Linked DNA regions of Oreochromis niloticus. The protein of the gene in region 2 interacts with the protein of the main gene of each other region in a pairwise test. Links are inferred from orthologs where the notes say so. Each region holds a gene or a part of one and is shown on either strand. Other genes may lie near its edges.

What was found.
Region 1: the proteins of ppp1r12a (region 2) and atxn10 interact in binary tests that used the Homo sapiens proteins (3 or more experiments, as listed by UniProt). The link is inferred for Oreochromis niloticus from reciprocal best matches to the Homo sapiens genes PPP1R12A and ATXN10.

Annotation. Positions count from the first base shown.
Region 1 is NC_031981.2:6,401,934-6,412,026, reverse strand, and holds the start of atxn10 (ataxin-10), read right to left. Parts: upstream 4,785-10,093; 5' UTR 4,753-4,784; coding exon 4,622-4,752; intron 4,038-4,621; coding exon 3,846-4,037; intron 3,520-3,845; coding exon 3,434-3,519; intron 2,968-3,433; coding exon 2,871-2,967; intron 2,766-2,870; coding exon 2,601-2,765; intron 2,502-2,600; coding exon 2,421-2,501; intron 1,908-2,420; coding exon 1,751-1,907; intron 1,580-1,750; coding exon 1,462-1,579; intron 1,229-1,461; coding exon 1,044-1,228; intron 1-1,043. UniProt on the Homo sapiens protein: May play a role in the regulation of cytokinesis. May play a role in signaling by stimulating protein glycosylation. Induces neuritogenesis by activating the Ras-MAP kinase pathway and is necessary for the survival of cerebellar neurons.
Region 2 is NC_031981.2:15,910,680-15,920,877, reverse strand, and holds the start of ppp1r12a (protein phosphatase 1 regulatory subunit 12A), read right to left. Parts: upstream 4,061-10,198; 5' UTR 3,950-4,060; coding exon 3,713-3,949; intron 1-3,712. UniProt on the Homo sapiens protein: Key regulator of protein phosphatase 1C (PPP1C). Mediates binding to myosin. As part of the PPP1C complex, involved in dephosphorylation of PLK1. Capable of inhibiting HIF1AN-dependent suppression of HIF1A activity.

The sequences.
Region 1 (10,093 bases), about 9.5 Mb from region 2:
CTCAGCAACCCTCCTGTTCTACAGGAATATAACCAGAATGCAACCACTCAGCTGAGTCAAGTCCCCTCAAGTTGTGCTCATTCAGACTGATAGTAGTATGTTGGTAGTCTTCCTGCATTCATAAATTAAACAGCAATTATTTAAAATAATCTCTCAGAGAGTGACTGCAGTCATTCCAAGTCAGACTGCAACCGTTTGCAGAAAAGCTTCCTATCAGGCGACCTGTGCAATCACCTTGTGATCAAACGTGGTCATGACTGTTAAACTCTGCGCAGCCATTTAGTTCCACAAGGTTTACTCTGTTGCAGAATATGAAAAAAATCAATACAATCACCAGTCAGCCAACTATTTTTTTTGTAGATGCAAGGTGGTTGCTGTCCTATTTTTACTGTGACTGAGCCATTAGCTTGCTCTGAATTAGAAGGTAGCTTTGTTTGCTCAGCTAACATTTATCTCATGATGGTGGTGCATGAGATAAGCCCTCTTTTTCGAAGTATCCTCACAGTATTATTTAATAAAATACTGATTTTTTGCTGCACCCCTATTGACAATAATGCCAAGGAAAATATTGTGATACTATACTGCATAGATTTTTCCCCTCCCCTACTAGATAGATAGAAAAAATAGCTAAAGTGCTTGAGAAGATTTCACCACCTAACAGTTATTTCAAAATGCCTCTGGGCACTTATTTGGGCAGCTATTATGAAGTTTTAATCAAAGAAACACTTCAGATGCGACAGATTTAAGTACAATACTCTGTGAGTGTCTGTCTCTGATAGGTAGACAGACATAAAGTTCTCTTTATGTCCCACTTATAGTATAATCATTAAATACTGTATGTAAATTCTCAACATATTAAAAATGGCAGCATATGAAGGACTTTGAGGTGGAAGTGGAAATATGACTCAGCACACTGAACTACCTCTGATCTGGAAATTATGGCTTATAGCAAAATTTTCATTCACTCTTCGTCACAGTTGTTATCAAGTACCACCACAAACTTAACAGAACTTCCATCCCTCCACTCATTCATTTGTCCAAACCTTGTTCTGGTTGTTGGTATTGCTGTGGCAGAGGTTTCCTATGAGCCTGATGAGGTGTGCCTTAAAGCTGATGACAGGAGAATAAGAAGAAGAGTCTCCATCTCCACTGAAGGAGGAGAAGTTCTGAGCAGCACTGAAAATATTCTTACTGGCCTTCCCGGTGGCGTGTACCTGCTCCAGGAGCTCTGCATGGACAGACAGTTTGTGGCAGACAACGGGAAAAGCAGAACACCTTCTGAGAAGCAGCATAAAGCTATTCAAATTATGGCTGATGTTGACATATGAGATTCTGCTTTTCTCCTTTAAGAAACAGATTAAATGATAAACCTCAAACTTTCCAGCATTTGGACTTTGCGGGCTGTTTAATTTAATGTCTGCTGTTGCTCGGTTGTTGACTTAATGGCTGTTTTTCATTTACCAACAGTAGTTACTAGAAGGTCTGGATGATCCTGTAGGAACATGAACTGCTTGTGGTCTGAGGTCATCTCACACAGCACATCCAGCAGACTAATCACTGTTAGCGCCTCCTGCAGGACCTGCAGGGGATTGCAACAAACAGGGGGCAGTCCACAGAGTAAGAATCTTTTGAGACACAATACTGAGAGTCAAAACGACTGAAACATAAGTTTATTCATTTCACACAGGGTAAGGCTAACAAACGCAGGGTGAAAAACCTGCAGAAAATGTGTTGAATTTATGATCTGTACCTCATCACTGGACGCAGAACCCGTAGCAAGTGTGAGAACAGCTCCACAACCTTTCTGGAAGGAAGTGGCCAGGAAACGAGCCACACTGGGAGGGATGCCACAGTCTTCTGAGCCCTCCTCTCTTAGCTGGGCTAAAAGTAGCTCTAATAAAGTAACTCTGAAAAACAAAATGTACATCTATATGAAGCATCTATAGTTTTCATTTAACCTCCTAAGACCCGAACTCTTTCATGGCATGCACTTTTAATTGTTCTTTGGTATTTGGGTTGATTGGGACCTGATGAATGTAAAAACAAAGAATTACCAGATTTTTTTTTTTTTTACCTAATTTTTGTTTCTGAGAAAAATAAGATCCACATATGAGGACATTCATTTTAAATGTTGATAGAACAGTGGCTGTATAATGTCCTTGTAAGTGGATATCAGGCCCTTGTAGAGAAAATTAAGTATTTTGGTCTAGACATCCCAAAATGTGATGTCCACATATGTGGACGCCAGGTCCTAGAAGGTTAAATATTAGCTGTTTTTTACTACTATTCTGTGCATCATTTCTATGCAGTGTAAAAACCAAAAAACTAAAATAATAGGCTGAAAGGTGCTAGCATACATTTAACCAGTTCTGTTTGAGTGAATTGTTCATGTTTTTATCCAAACAACAAAAATGAAGTACCTATCATGGTGAGACATCTCAGAGTACATGTTCTCCACCAGTGACGAAGACCTCAGGAAATGCTGTGTTGCAATGAGCACTCTGAAAAAAATCAATAAATAACAAAGGGAAAGGAGCACTTAAGTATGCCCTTGATGCATAACAACAGTTTTCAAGTTAGTACCATAATGATGCACTTACGTCCAGTCCAGCTCAGGCTGAGTCCTGCAGAGCTCCATCACCCTGAGAGCCAGCTCAATGTTCTGTGGCTTGGACAAATCTTCCACCTTGGCCTCATCCAGGCATGTGTGGATTACCATCGAGGTGTAGTTCACGGTCTTCTCATCGTCAGTGCTAAGCAGCTGCCTGTTTGCATACGTTCGGGTGGACAGATTTACTAATATAGAATGTGCATGTGATTTTGGAGTCAAACAGAAAGATCAGGGTGAAATTTTGGCACACAGAACTTACAGGAAAAGGTCTGGGAAGCTTATCATCCAAATGTCATCTTTGCACAACTGGTTACCAACAGCCAAGTTACCAAGAAACTGGATGCCACAGCGAAGAGCTGAGCCACAGAAAACAGATCAAAAAAATCAGAAAAACTACTCAAGATTCATTCACCATTCATTTTCCTCCATGATGTATTGCGTTTATGTCCTTCTAGACTGTTAAAAGTTTTTGCCTACTCTTGAATACAAAAGAACTAGACAGCACGGTTTCTTATAAAACTCAAAGAACCCTGTAATATTAGCTGGCTGCACACTTCTTCTGGTTGGCAGATGTAGACTGTCGACAGAAAATAGTTCTTATATGAAACTGCCTACACAAAGGCATAATAATTTTTTTTGACTAGTCAACGTCATAAATTATTTTACAATTTGAGCACCACAAGACAAAAACAGCACAATCTACTTCCATCTCTAACAACCTCTATAGCTCAACTCAAAACAATTTAGTTGGCTTTGAAAGGGACAAAGGAAAAACACATAATTACTGTACCTTAAGCATCAGTGGCCGAATTTTAGACTTACGTTCGAATATGGTATCTGGAATCTCCATATTTACAGTTGACAGAAATCTCAGGAGTTTGAGGGATACATCAATGAAACCAAGTTCCCTAGTTGACAAAGACACATTATGTCAAGTGCTTCTTTGTCTTTTTCTTTTGTATAAGAATAAAAAGGAGGCACCCAATAACAAACTGTGACATAATATTATTATAAACTGCAAAAATAGCACTTCAACAAATCCTGCAATTGTAAAGATATAATTGTACAAGTTCCTTAAACATAAACAGCCAAATTTTAGCAGGAAAAATGCTCAAGAAGGATTTTTAGCAGTGCTTCCAAATAAATCAGTCACTAAACTCTATGACCATTGTTTACTTAATTATTTTGTATGTTTCTGAAAGATCCCCCTGCTGCTTTGTGACGTCGGGGATACCTGAGCAGACTCTGGTTACGTTTACTCTGGACACAGGAGTTCCTCTGAGCTCTGAAGCACTCTGCGGTCAGCTGGAGCTGCAGGGTAAAAGTCTGCACATCCTCACTGTCCAAGCCGGCAGCCTGCAGCTCTTCACATAGTCTGGTCAGGACTTTCACAAGAGTGGAGAATGTCTCCTCCTCCACAGCATCTCTGACAACAACAAACAGGTGAACAAGTACACAGGATTCATTTCATTTGCAGTACCCTCACTGGGAGACCACCAGATATAAAACACAGATGTAGTTAATAACGCGGTGTTTGCACTACATTAGCTGGGTCTTGCGTGAAACACTGTCTTTTTTCCATTAAGAAAAAAATAAACATGCAGTTTACAATTTGAATCCAATGTGCGGGATACTCCTGTGCTACAAATACCACAGAAAGGAGCATAATGTCACGTGCACAGGCCGTTAAATTTTAATAAGCAGCGTTAGCTTCTGCACAGGAAAAAAAAAACTACCAGTAATGCTTAAAAATCTGCTTTTAGTACAAAACAGCAATAACCGAACTTAGACATAACCACGTATTTAAGCTATACTGCGGATATGTGCTAGTTTTCTTTATGCTACAGCGACAATTATTAGGTCTGAATGACTTCAGAAACCGGGCGTGCCGTTATATTTGGCAGTGCGTAGTTGACAGTTGGATATTTTCAAGTTAATGCTAGCTTAGCCGGACCGGCACTGATACGGCCCATTTCCGTATAAAACATAAATAAATTACCCAGACCTCACCTGTATTCGACATCCCGCAGCGCAGCTGTAAATGTTTTTAAAGTCTGCAAGTGTTCAGGTCCGTGTTTTTCATTTAAAATGCCAGCGATGGACGCTGAGGTCCCCAAGATGATGTCTGTGGAAGCTGCCATGTTTGTCTGTTTCACGCTTGTGGGCGGGACGTCCGGAAAACTCTTTAAGACGTTATTGGTTCAAATCAGTATGGGGGCGGGGACTGAGCATGTGCTGCTGTTTTCTTGGTGAAGAGTCGCCTAGACTGCTCTGTAATGAAGGCTGTGACTGCAAATAAACTCTACAGAATGAATTTTCATGTGTTTTTGCATAAAACTGTGGGTAAAAATCACTTAACTATTCTGTGTTTGACTGTAATGATTTGATTAAGCACTTAGCACTGAGAAAGACAGAAGTAAGAACTGATGAGAGGCATCAAGATTCTGGAGACCAAGGTTATTTTAGTTAACTAAAAAAAAGGGTACAAACTAAAAATACATATGAAATAACATTTTAGTTGACTAAAATAAAACAAATAAAAAATAGACTTAAATGTAAAACTAGCTGAAATTATTTTATGAACTTGGAAAACTAACTAAATTTTTTTTTTAAATAGAAAGACCAAACTCTATTTAAACTAGTCTAATTTTGTACCCATTATAACCTCCCTAAAATTGCTATAGGCTGCAGCTGCATTCACATCTCAAATCCATTCACCAAAACCAACATTTGAAAAGTTCAAATGTCAATCCATTCAACCCAGATAGTTTATGGAACAGCTACTGCAGCTGCAGCTGCAAAGCCGCAAGACAAGCCTTTGTGATTTCCATGTAGAGTGGCAAATTTTAGATTACAGATCCATTATGGTTGTCCCTTGTATTTCCACTGGCCTGGAACAGCACAGCAGTGGTGAAAAGCAGCTCGCTGCTGAGAAGAGTTGATTACGGATGGTAGGAAGCGTCCACCTCAAGCAATTTGTCAGCCTTAAAATGAGGCAACGAAAGAAGCAAACATTCCCTTTATAGAATTCCCATTATTCATTTTTCAAGTGGAATAACTGGAAATATCCTCACAAACTGGAAATGCTGTGGCATGATCGGGGAATCTGAAGAGTTGAGTTACAGGAAAAACAGGACATCCTATCAGGGTTCAGCCATTCTAGAAAACCTCAGTAATGTTAACTAGACGACGGCTGGTTTAGTCTGCTGTGGCAGACGATCTAGCTCTCTAGGAAAAAGAAAAAACAAAAACATCAAGACAATCAACCACACACACAGTTTTTATTATTCACAGATGGTCGGACATTTTGTCTGTACAAAACACAATCAGCGTTGTTAAATGAAACACTTTAATACCAAGTGAAGCATGTCTATTTGGTCTTTCAAGACAGAGAAAAATGCAAGGAGAAATGAAATGGCTCCTTGTGTCGAGCAGCAGTTTGTCACAGCGGTGCTCACGACAGCAAACTGAGCTGAACCTAAACACAGCACACAGTGGTTAAGGAAATTATAAATGTTTATTTGCACCCTGATGGTCTAATACCAGAGCCTGTTTCATTCCACTCTTGTAAAATCCATGTTTCAACACATCTGGCACAGTGCTAACAAAGGAGAAATTCATTTGTGGTGCGAACATTTTCAGCCATGCGTGAAGTGTGGCTCTGTGAAGAAGTGCTTCAATTCAGACATTCATGGACTCAACATTATGTAACCTTCTCATTTTCATCCCCCTGAGTGCTCTAATTTCTGGTTTTGAGTGAAAGGCTGCGGTTGAATAGTTGTTTGCTGCTTTGAATTAAAGAAAATCTCTGCTATGTGACATACATGAAACAAAAGTAAAAGTATTTAGGATACTGTAGTGTTAAGACAACACAAAACAGTTTCCTTAAGGCACTTGATATTGTAAGGTAAAGACAGGAAAGTAAAGACAGCTACAGTAATGCAAAGAGAAACCCCTCAGGTGACCCCCTATGAAAAAGCACTTGGCAACAACGGGAAGGAAAAACTCCCTTTTAACCAGAAGCAGTCTCCAGCAGAACCAGGCTGTAGAAGGGGCAAGAGCAGCCTGTTACGGGGAACGTAACACAGCCATCTGCTGCGACTGATTGAGGGACATTTGTGCCCATTCATGTCCTGTTAGACATCACCTCTGCTAACTGGGGTCACTCAAGTGGACTTCTCTAGCATATTTGTGGTGTTGGAGCCTTTTTTTTAAATCAGTGTCTGTAAAATTATATGGATTTCTGTGCAGTTTATTGTGTAAACACCTAATCCAAGAAGTACTTCGCACAAAGCTCATATTAGCTACTATCTCTGGGTATCCAGTTGTAAAATGATGACATATAAAACCCTGCTTGTGGGTTCAAACTGCACTGTGTTCATTACGGCTGTTGTCTTTTTAATGTGTTTTAATGCTTTATATTCTTGAATTCTTAAATTCAAGAATTGGTCAAAATCCGCCTGTACCATACACTGGTATTCCCCATTCTTCTCTATGAGTCGGAGACCTGGGTCATCCTCAAACACGACCTCAACAAGCTCGAGGTCTTCCAAACGCGCTGTTTGCGTCAGATTCTCCGAGTGTCCCTCCGTGATAGTCTCAGCAACGTGTGATAAGTAGTCAATGTCACCAGCAGGCCTCAATGGAAGAGCTGATTAGGAAGCAACGACTGCAATGGTTTGGCCACATCTGCCGCAGGAGCAACCATCGCCTGCCATACCGCCTTTTGATGCAGCAACATCAGAGTGAGAGTGATGAGAGACCTCCAAGAAGACTTGGATCAAGGAAATTGAAGATGATCTTAAACAACAACGTCTAACCCTCAAGCAAGCAAAGGTGAAGGCAAGAGACCACAAGGCCTGTAAGTGCATCGTTGATCAAGCTGGAAACCCCACGGCATCCACAGCGACTTATTGGCTACGTGGACAACCTCCCCTGCCAATCGCAAGCTAAGGACAAAAGAAGAAGAAGAAGAAAGAATGCTTTATATCTTATTCTATTGAATTTGAACAAGCCCCCTGTGACTTGCTAACTAAACTTGCTAGCTTTAGTTGACAACGTACTCCACTCTCTGCTCTAAGGACCCACTGCACACCGTGCTGAGCCAAGGGAAAACTGTTGCTCAAGACCACTTTAAAAAATGGAAGAGCTCATAATAGCTCATGTTCAGAGACTGTAAAGTGTTAATTCAGTATGTTATCAAGCCATTTGCAAGTATTTTTCAAGGCTCAGTGGACCACATTTTCCTGTTGGGGAATGTTTTTGCAATGGAGGTGAATGCTTGGTACGCAGCAGTGTTTAGGTGGTTTGTGTCAAAAATGCCAGGACCCATTACTATAGTAACCTGCTAGCGCTTTTAATCTTGTGGTCAACAGCTTTTTTTTTTGCTTTTTTTTTAATCTCACCTCAGAAGCAGAATTCAGAGATGAAGGCCTGGATGGTTTCAAAGCCACCTTCAACACAAAGTCCTTGGGACCAGTTATAAGATTCATCTGCTGGATTTTACCTGAGTGATTAGTGACAGATTTGAATGAGTAAGTTTTCAGTTTATATAGTATCTAAATGTAAAAATAGACCATAAATGCACAGTTGATTAAAAAAAACTATATTATAGAAAACTGACTGCCATTTGTAACCATAACTCTCTTTACTGTAAGTACTTCACCACATCGAAAGAGAAGTGGTCATCTGCTTCCAGGTTCTCAAAGAAACACCAGTGGCACCTTTAGGGTTAACCTCTAAAGCTGTCCTGAGTATAACTATTTGTAATGCAAAAAGATGGTTTAAGGTTTTTAATAGACTAAAAAAGCAAACCACAATGTGCATTCAGTGTTTCACACACATTTTTACATTATGATTTAATAACTGTTCTGCAGGTTGAGACAAATGTTATCTTTAGCAGAGTCATAATGCTTGCAAATAATTTCCTGGATTAAAGTTCCTACTTCTTTAATAATATGATACCAGACACCAGAGACACACACGGTTTCAAACATAGATGAAATTGATTTTTGCTCCACTTTGCCTTACCCTCCACTTCAGCACAGTCTCTGAAGGTTGGCAGAGAGATGGCGGTTGGGCTGATGAGGTTAAAAACACAGTTGGTGTCACATGGCTGGCAGGCCTTAGGACATCACAGCGACTGAGTGGCTGTGATACTGTCGGACCTAAGTGTGACAGAGAGGAGCCATCAGTAAGAGACAATATGCGAGGAAAAAGTGGGATCTGTAATGCAATCTGAGGGAGATGTGTGACTGATACAGAATTCAAAAGACATCATATAAAAAGACTTTAACTAAAGCCCCACAGCCGCCTTGAGCAAGAGGAACCTGGCAACACCTGAATAGTCCCATAGACCTCTATGGTAAACCGAGCAATGGGCGCCTTAAAAAGAGGCCAAACCCTGATTCCAAACCCTAGAATCAAGTGGGTGAGGGTTCCCCTAACGTGAAGACAGTGGTGCTTTTACAACACGACCTCAAAAACTGTAGAGGGAGCTGAGCCATGTAATTAGAAACAAGCAGGTGAGTCCAAGTTGTTCGTTGAGAAACGGGGCCAAGCCACAGAAATGATTGTGTGGTATTCCACACCACTGCAGTGCCACCAAGGAAAAACAGGCGGAGAAAAATCCAGAAGAGGGTATGTAAGAGGGAATGTCATTTGTTGTGATCCAATGGCACATTCGCATTTCTGAGGAAGGAAAGGAAACCGATTCAAAATCAGCAACTGAATCAGCATTAAGGAATTAAGGCCACCACAAGCAGGTAATATTACTTTTGCCATGCAGAAAACTATATTTTCCATTTATTTCCATTTTTGGAAATTGTTATATCATCCAAAGATATTGCAGAATTACACTGACATATATTTCATACCTTGGCACTTTCAATCAGCTTCACATGCACCAAACCTCGAAAACCAGCGGGAGGAAAGTGGAAGAGGGGAAAATTTGTCTGGTTGCATTTATTCAGCTGACCAATGCAGCTACTGGGCTTTTGGTATCAATTACAGCGAATTAAGTGATAGCCACCCAATACCAACACTAAAAGCATCATCCATCAAATGAGTTAAAATGCTGCTCTACCACTAATTGAGCCCACCATTTTGGCTGGGCCCCAGGTGCCTATAAATAAGAGCCACGCTTATTTTTCTTGCATTCCTCTAAGGCGAGGCCTCTTTGATCCTTTGGCCACTTGGAAGTGATCATTGGAAAAACTGGTTTCAGGGTTCAAAATGACCACAGCTGAGGAAGAATGAGTACTGAGAGGAATTAAAGCCAATGTGTATCTGTGTGCTTTAAATGTTGAAGAGCAAAAAAGTGACTTTAATCTCGCAGCTTTAATTTCCAACACAAAGATTAGGGTGTATAAATGTATTAAAAGGAAACTTTGTGTGTGAGAGATGCCATCACTACTTTATGAATATATAAACAGTATTCACATGGTGAAGGGCAACTTAAAAGCCCCATCTAGTGGTCTATGG
Region 2 (10,198 bases):
ATTTGTTTACATCTGCATGAGGTGGTATATCGCTTTCTCCAGCATGGTAATCGCAATAAGCGTTGCATAAATATTTTTAAATCTTGCAAAATGTGCATATTTGAGGTTTGTGAGAATAAAATATGTGACGTTGGTCCTTATGTTTGTGTTACAACTGAACTTCAAAGTCCACTGGACTGAGCCTGGCAACAGTGTGACTTTTCACCTTGGTGCTCTTGCTTGTACACAGTCATAGTGACATCATTGATCATCGTCATCACTGGTCAAGCATCACCTTACACACGCCTTAAGAGGTCTGCAAAAAGACATTGACGTGTTTACAGGTTCATCAGCAACAGGTCATTTTTAAAGAAACAAGGTTCATGACGGTTCATGACTCACAGAGACGACCTCTTGCCTAAATGTGGGATTATACTAGAGCTGAACTACAAAGCAAAGCTACAGACTGAGTCATACCCAAACTTAGTATCATCTACTGAAACCCAGTTAGAGGAACTTGTGTTGGCTGCACCGGTCACCAGTGATCGAGTCCTCATGCAGCAACATGGCACATTTCATAACAAAGATAGAGGTCACTCATTCACCAGGATAGATATTCTCTGGAGGGATTTTTTTTTTTGGTCTGTCTAAAATTCAACAAGAAAAGCCACACAAAGACATTAAGACAAAAGAGGCTACTGACTGTTCAGCTCATCTTCAAGAAAATTAACAGCAGTTTAACCTGGGATTCACCCTTTAATCACAAATCCCTCCATCACCCCTCGGTAAAACACCAAACCTAGAGATCACATGGCCTTTAACACACACACAGAGCAGCCCCTCGTCTCCAGAGATGGTTATGTCCGGAGAGCGGCACTTCAAATTCTTTCCTCACTCAAGCTCATCTCTGGACATCAGCCCAAAAAAAGGCAACGTTTCCACCCAATGAGTTTGCATGGAGGGGCTCATGCTAATTCCAGATTTCATTAAAGCAGACTACGAGCTTGAAGAAAGGTTAATTTACCAGCAGGATTAATTAATGCAAAAAAAAACTATTCACATACATGAAATCACATACGGATAAAGCTGATGACCCATGCCTTAAAACCTGCTTTTAAAACTTTTAATCTGTGCAGTGGCGTAAGTCTTGGAGAACAAACACACCATGGGAGCAAGGTGGTGCATAAAGCAGTGCTCATAATTACTAAGACGAGACATGTGGACATGAGTAATGAAGTGACATCACAGGAGATCTATGCAAGTATAAAACATTTAATGTGAATAGTTTTGTACATCCTTACATCATGTAAACACTATCCACACTAGTGCAAACAAGATAAACAAATGCTCGTTTCCACCAGCATTATCCTTTATTTCTTCAAATTAAAATACTGATATCCAGGATGCAATATGCAGGGAGAGAAAAATAAAAAAAATATATAGAGGGGCAACCACCGTTTCCCTCTTCAGAGGATGTTAGCTTCATAGCTTTAATGATTAATTTGAAATAACCCCAAATGTAAAACACATCACCCTCTTTTACCCGAATCCATAAAGTCTCTGTAAAGGGAAGGAGACTTCATTTTCTGAGATCAGCAGCACACTTTCCAGTTTGAGTGTTAATAAATATGTGGAAATTATCTGACTCTGTAATATGTTCGACAGCATGTTCTAACTTGTGAACGAAGATCAGGTTAAGGTTGATCTTTTTAAACAAAATGCTTCTACCCCTCTCCATCAGCCTATCACAGCAGCTGCGCCATCATGCAAAAGGCGACAAACGACTGCAGGATGTTGCAGAGAACAGTCCTGGTGCCGAGCCGCAACTCAACAAGAAGAAAGAAGAAAAGAAGAAGCTGCACAAATCACCTTTGGAGAGACCTCAGATGTCAACACAGAGGCAACTGGTTGGCACACAATATTTCTGAGGTTTTTCTGCAACTCTCTGGACCCAGAGATCCAACGTTACAGTTTGGCTTAATGAAAAGCTGGAATGGAATAGATCCTGATCATCTCACCCCAGCAGCCTCACAAGCACTGAAAGTGAGATCAGTTTCTGATTGGACTGATGTTTGCACTGTTGACTGTTTCAAGACACTGCAAAAATCCTGGAAAGGGGGGGGGGATAAAAGTTTATTTTCCAGTGGGAATGACAAATTATTTATCAGAGGCAGAAACATGCAGTCCAGAAAGGGGAAATCCCCCAAACCCTTCACCCTGCTTATTTCCACCAAATAGTAAAACACTTAACTGCAATGTTCTTGGTACAAAATAAGCAAGATTTCTTTATGAAAATGTCACTGTAAAAGCTAACAGTATACCCGTAATCATTTGATCCATTAAGCACAAACTGAAAAACATGTTATTAAATCCTATTGTTTTTAAAATAAGTGTACTTGTTTAATGGTAAAAGCTACATCTGAAGCAACAGAAACAAATTCATAAATTACACGATCAGGTTCTTTGTTATTTAAGTTTTAATTCTAGTCTAGCTTTTGCACACCTCACTGGACTTAACCTGGTCACAACTTTATGTAAGCTTACTGCACCAACAAGCAACCCACTTCCATCACTGGATCCATGGTGGTTTATAAAGCTTTCAAATCAGGCTTTTAACCCATTTGGACTGAAACTACCTCATACCGCCTAAAACCCATCAAGATGAGGTGCCATTTTCAGTTTATCGGCTGTGGAAGTACTGATGCTAGTCAAAGTAGCTACCCCAGTTAGCGGGCAAATGACTAGCTTGGCACGGCTAACATCCCGGTGTAGCAAAAGCGCTAACGACACAGCCGTTTCCGATTAACTATACACAAAACAGCATAAAATTATGAGGCCCATAATTTACCGCTGACGCCGTTTCTCCGGTCAGTTAATGAATGAATTAACTTCAGCTAAAGCCCCACACAGCTAACGACATTTATCTTAGCATGCTAAAGTACGTTAGCAGACAATCCGCTGGGCTAATACTGCGCTGTTACCATTCACTCTTTCCTGGCAATTAAACTAATATGCCCAATATTTATGAGGGGATGCATTTTTTAAGTTAGAGTGACAAGCAATCATTGTTTTGCAATCGTAACATTAGCCTGTATCTGAATGACGTTGTATCTGAAGCTAGTTAGCGAGGTAGCTTCTGCTTCCTCTCCAGAGAGTAGCCACAGTCGGGGAGGGTTTATCAACAAAACGACTTTTACTGCTAACCAGGTAGCAGCCATCTATTGCTGGGTTCATTCTGCATGAACATCATTTATATTAAGCTCCAAACACACTAAGTAGGATCCGAAAATAATCAATGGACCACACAGACACTAGGTGCTTGTCTGGCTTGATTGCATTTACAACATAAAACCGAGCCAATGTTTCAACCCGAAAAATGCAGCAGTACTGCAATTAGACTGCACCTACAGACTCAGGCTAGTTTATGGAGGCATGAAGTAGAATTAGCCCTGGAAATTAGGTGTTTGACTTTGCTGCTTCTTGCCACTTATACTCAGGCAAGTGTATGCATAGTTAGCGCGGTTTACCAATTAAACAGCCTCAGGAGGAAGCCAACGGGTTCATCCCTTCTCTGCTTCGAGAAGGACGAGTATGCTAGGTAGGTAAACAACGGGATGAGAATGGCTTCCATTTGACAGGTGTACCAGGGTAAGCTTTTGCTAGCAGCCAGTCGATATTTATGTCTAATGGTACCAGCTGCTGACATAAACACACACGGCAGGCCAACACAAACCTGGTGGAGGGCGGTGAGACCGTCTACATTGGCGTAGTTGATGTCAGCGCCCCGGTCAAGCATTCGGAGCACCTCCTCGGTATCGCCGCTCGAACAGGCGGCCAGAAACACGGCGCCATCATCGAACTTCACCTTCGTCTTTTTCTTTTTCAAAACAGGAGGCTCCTGGTCCGTTTCCGAGCCAAGCCATCGCTTTAACTGTTCATTCCGCTTCTGCTTGGCGTCCGCCATCTTCATCCCCCTCCTGTCTCGGGCTTCTTATCTTTCGCCGAGAGAGGATATACTTTATAGTGCCACTATCCCACAGCGCAGTGGGGCGTGGGAAGGGAGGGCTGGGGAGGAGGGGGAACTGAGAGTGAGAGAGAGAGAGAGAGAGAGAGAGCGCGTCTGGATTGTTTCCCGTAACCTCGCGAGATCTGAAGCCCAGGAACTGCAGTATAACGTCATCATCAGCGGATTATAAGGGAGAGTGAGTGAGTGAGCGAGCAGGGTAATCCTTATCGACTGTGCACACCAAATAAGACAAGATTACTTAAAAATATTGCATAACCTTCTGCGGGTTCACAAAAAAATTCTAAGAGAGGCTCTCTAACGTGCAGTAGCTAATATTTTTTGACCGCCTCTAGGCTACTGTTTGCTGTGATATAGCTGGGAACACAGAAGTGATGTAAAACCACATGTCAGTGAATGTATCTGCAGTAGAAAACAGTGTTATCTGTAAGAACAACCAAATCTTCCCACCTTCTCTGTGGGTGAAGGAAAGGAAAAGGAGGTCTGGATCAGGGACGTTTCCAGGATTTTTTCAATGGGGTGGCACGTGCACCCACAACACCTTGCTTTTGTCAATCCATCATAGACATAAGACATAATCTCTCCAGTGTGTCCCGTCCTTTTTTTTAGCAATCATATCAATTAACTTGTGATTTACAGACGTCACCCCTGTCTTTTCAGTTGAGGAAGCAGAAAGCATTTTATTATGCTATCTAAACAAACATACTCTTTGCAGATGTTTTCCACGTCTTGTGGGTGGTTCTTTTAAAGCATTTTGTGCTAAAGGTACATCGCAAGGCGAGCCAAAACGTTCAGGCACACCTGTATTCTCATTATACTCAGAAAAGAGCATGTATCTCATCTGAAATACCGTCAGATCTCCTTTAAATGCATAATATACTGTATATTTAAATATTTAATGTCAGATGAATTTAATTAGCTCTTTTGCCACACAAGAAAGCAACAGTTCTTGGCCACCTACACATTACACTTTTAGGAACTGCCTCTCCTTGGAAACCTATGAATACCACAAATTTCTTGGTGCACAGCTTTTGTGCTAATATTAATGCCACAGGAGGTATGCAACTCTGCACTATGCGCCAGAGCACTTGTAACTTCACAGCTGCTATGATACCTTAACGCTTTGACTTTTTACTGATATGACTTATACTTGATCACACAAAATTCAGTAAATCTTTGTAATGACCTATTCTTGCACAAATGTTGTAAAAGCAGTCAGAATTGCTTTATACACCTGTGGCAATGGGACTGAGCACATCTGAATTCGAAAGAGGTGTGGCCCAGTACGTGTGTCCATATAGAGTAGTTGCACAACCAGATGAATGACCTGTTTTTAGCTCCAAAACGACATACAAGGTACTTTCCAAACTGTAACCTCCACAGAGCCATCTGTTCCAACGTCAGTGCCCTTCTCCATCATGCTGGTTACTGCTATTGCTGCAGAAGCGCTAAACTACAGCTAACCAAATAATTAACTTCAGCTTGTGCTGCAATAACTTACATCGCAGCTTTATGGCATCATGGGTGTTTACTTTTTCATTACCAAACTTTCTGACTTGATTTAATTAATGGTTGTAGAATCAGCTCAGAGGGCTCAATTCACATTTTTAGGCAGGTCTGGACCCCTAAAACCCATCAATAATGGAGAGGGCAAATGGCATTGTAGTTATCATTTTTTAGCATTGCCAATTGGTGACTATGTAACGAAGTTGCTCTGTGGCTGATGGAGGCTGTTGCATGAAAATCAAAGAATATCATAAATACATTGTATTCTAGTAGCATCACTATGAAGTTATAGCAGAGTCTTGGGTCTGTTATTTATTTTTGTCCTTTATTTATGCTGAATTAGTGCTGATTGAGTCTTTTTATGTTGTCTTACAATCAGCGGCAACTCAAATGAACCATCAGTTTTACAAAAGTCATGTTTTGTTTTTCATTTCAGGAAGTGAAATGATTTTATTGTTCGAATTAAACAGACTGTCTCAGTGGAGGTGTTTCCCCTTTCTTCTGGGTGGTTCTTTCAAAACATTTGGTGCCAAAGCCACACTAAAGGGCGTGGATAGATTTAAGGCACACCTGTATTCTTATCTGCAGTTATCTGCACATCATGTAAAATATCATCACTTCTGTATGTATACTGATACAGTCACTTCATCCATTTATTACCCCTTTGTGCAACTGTGGTAATAACATTTGGCTGACACAAAATCTCTCCATAGCTGGTAATTATATACTGCCGGGAAGCTTTATCTATAATATTACAGTATAATATTAATACATTAGCAGCTTACTACTACTACTAATAATAATAATATAAAGAAAAAAAATGTAACATACTCTCAGCAATAACCCTGCTGGAATAAGGAACTTGCCTTAGTATTATATAACTGGACAGCTCAAACAGACAGTCGAGAACATCGACTGTATCCCAACCAAATTTATGCTGAGGTATAAAATTATCAGGATTGATAGAAACAACATGGCTGCTAACAAACAGAGAGTAGCGTCCCAGTGGAAAGCATTTGTGCCCTTTAGCGTATAAGTGGTACAATAAAGGTGCTTTATTTTTGTATTTTTGAAAGACATTTTGAAATTGGGAAAGTAAGGAAAAACACAGGAAAATCATGTCGTTGAATCAAGGCAGCCTACAAAGGCAAATTCATGCATTTAGATGCACGCGCTCACTTATATGTCCCACTGTATGCCACCCTGTAAATCTGCTACCTACACCGACTCAGAGTTTTTCCTGTGCTCCATCCAGCACCCCATATGCTTCTGCACTTTATTTTTTAGTGGATCGATTTACAACATTTTCCATCTTCATATGTATTTCCCTCTGCCAAAGACCTTTACCCTGTCTTAAAAACAGTTTTAATTACTTTTTTTCTTTGTGTCACACTGTGACTCTCTTCAGTTTATGTATTTGTGTACAAAGATCTTTTTTTGTTTTTGTTTTAAATGCTTCATTATCATCGTTTTGGTTCAAATGAACTTTTACAGATGTGGCTATTTTCATTTCAGGAAGTGGAAGGAATTTTGTCATGCTAACTAAACAAACTCTCATTTGGCGGTATTTCCCCTTTCTTCCACCCAGATTCACGAAACGGCTTTTCCAACTATGTAACGCGTTTAGTTTCCATGTCATAAAAAAGACATCGCTCCCCAAAGGGAAATGGAAGCCGTCTTATTACAGAGTACCTGCGATGATTTGATGGCGAACACTTGAAGTGTTAGTAGACTTAAGCACCAGGGTGGTCCAGTTCAATCTGGAGTGAAAACAGGGTGGTACATAAAGTGCATGTGATTTTTGTTTTGTTTTTTTTGTTTTTTGGCACCCTCATGAGTTATTGTTGGCAGACATTCATGTGTACTCAGCAGGGGGTGCGGTGTTGCCGTCAAGTTGTAGGTATGAAGCATGCAGTCGCTCTTGTTTTCTTTACAGCAGGGTGTCACTTAATGATGGTTTTTTTCTGTTTAAAGACATTAAAAATGAGAAAGGTAATCTCTGTGCGTAATTTGGTGCCCCCCTCCAACTGAACTTGAAGTTGACATCCTGAATAACAAGCTGTTCAAGCAAAATCATGAACCAAAACATTTATACAACTGCCACCATGAGCCATTGTGTGGCGTGTGTACACATAAACCCAATATTATTTCATTTCAGAAGCATTTACTGCCTAAAAGCACAGTAAACTGGACTTAGAAGACACTCAGCTCGGCTGTTACACAAATGTCATGGGAAATCTGCACGGTTCTAATGAGTCAGAGCGATATGGAACACCAACAACGTCAGCGTCAGGAAGTTGCTGGCCAGTGGCTTCAGTGTGCTGATACCAGGAGGGCTGCAGGGAAAGTGATGTGCAAGCTGCTGTTTGGCAGGGAGAGTCGACCTCACAGTGACTGACAGAACAAGGCGAGCGCTGTGGGTCACTTCCAGCTCTGAATGTAATAAGAGAGTCTCGTGTGTAGGTGTTTGTGTATCTGTGTGATACATCAGCGAGTTTATGAGCTGCAGACAGCACAAACAGCAAAAAAATGTGCTTACTTGGAGGTTTTGGTTCAGTTGCTTGAAAAGATTGTTTCGTAAGATTATTTTTTCCAGTCCCTGTCAACATATGAACACCAGGCTCTGAATATGTGACGGGGTGGAGTCCGCATGTTCTCCAGGTTCCCCCTCACACTCAGAAATATACATGTTAGCTTAACTGGCAATTCTAAGTTGGTCATAGGTGTGGATGGCATCCTGTCTCTATGTTAGCCCTGTGATAGACTGGCAATCTGTCCAGGGTGTACTCATGACAGCTGGGCTAGGTCCCAGCTACTACTTACTACTACGACTAAAATGGATGTAGGTTTGGTTGTGTTTCATTTCTGCTGCGTCCGATCTTGCCAAACATGTTTAAATTTGTATTGAAACCAAAACAATGGAAAAGCATCAATGGATTTGAATATTCCTTATAAGTGCCATGCATCTGACTGCTACAGTCTACTTTTTTTTTTCTTTTTTCCATGTAGGGAAATGTATTTAATGAGTATTGTGAACTGAAAATGTCTAAAATGTGTGAAAATGATGAAATAATAATAGGATTCCTCTTTTGTGCTGCTTTGCTAGCTCCTCGCTGTAGCCAGTGCCGGTCGTTCACGGATATTCCTGCCATTAGTCTCTTTTTTATTTACAGTCTACTTAAAGTCTACAGTGTCAGCTACACTGTTATGTAAGAGGGGCCCCATGTCGCGCTGAAGGCCTAGAAACTGTCCAATGTATATCCACATCCTTAACTTAACACCAGTCAAATATCTTGAATGCATCCTGTTTATGTATCCTACTATACCCCCTCCCTCCCAGCAGCTGTATTTATCTCAGTAATGCCAGTGACACAGAGCGCTTATTGACTAACAGTAAAATGACTTTTGCCACAGTGTCGGCTGATCATAATTAATGGGATGTGAGAGGAGTCGTCATCAAATCCTTTAGTGAGACAAAAATCATTTGTCAGCATTACCTTTCACATGCAGATGTGACTAAGAGGGCTGTCTCATTGTATATTTGCCAGGCAAACTCTTGTCTTTCATTACTCTTCACTTTGATCTCCTATGACTGTTTGCTTCTGTTTCTGCTCCTTGAGGGGATAAAACTGTCTGGGAGTGATTCAAGTGTATTGATGCCACAAAATTACAATGGTGCACTCTCACTGTTTGTCTCTGGCCACTGAGACGTGCGTGATTAAAACCCGGCGACGGACCTCAAAGTTGTGTCAGTGTAGGCGTGTTCCAAGCATCACGACACCAGCGTCAGGGCCCTCTGCATCTATGACTTATCCCTGAGAGGAAGCGCTTGTTTACCGCTTTAACTGAGTATTTCCGCTGGAACCGTTTGTGGTTTGTGGAAACAGATGAGGTGTGCAAGTCAAGTGTCCTGGAAAGACAGCTGGAGAGGTTGACGAGGGTTGTTTACCTGAGCGTGTGCCTCTTTAAGTGTGTATGTATTTATATGTTACTGGACAGGCTGCGTTGGATGTTATCCAGCCTGATGTCAACCATACAGTATTCTAAAGGTTCCTACAGTTCCTATAATAATTCCCGTGTACACTAGAGCAACATGCTCATATAAACACACAAACACAAAGATTTATGGAGAAGATTGATTTGAGTCTTTCTCTCAGGCTGTTAAATTTACATGTACAAGGATACGCTCATGCTACATAATTGTTTGGCCTGTTTTTGCTGCTGGCTGTGAAATTAAAATTAAAATTTATGCACTGGGGTGCGTAAATGCTTGTTGACTTCTAGGCAATGTGATTGTGTCATAATATCTGATACAACTAAGGTTGTTCAACTCCTGATGGTTTAGGAAGAATTCACAACCAAAGAAATAATTGTTGCAAGATTATGTACGGATGCTTGCCTCCCTGTCTGTTTTTTATAACTGTGCAAGAATTTACATTACAATGCACCAGCTATGCATGTGCCCCAGGCAGCAGACTTCAAGTGGACTTTGGCTGCTCCCTTATTCACAAGGGGTTGCTAGGGCAAATAGGTCTGCATGTTTTGATTTAGCAGATTTTTATACCAGATACACTTCCTGACTGATTTGTGTCTCACTCCAAGATCAAACAGTATGAAGCCACACAAGTGGATTTCAAATAAGTATAACAGGAATGACTGCTTGACCATCAGGTCTTTTGCTATCTGTGT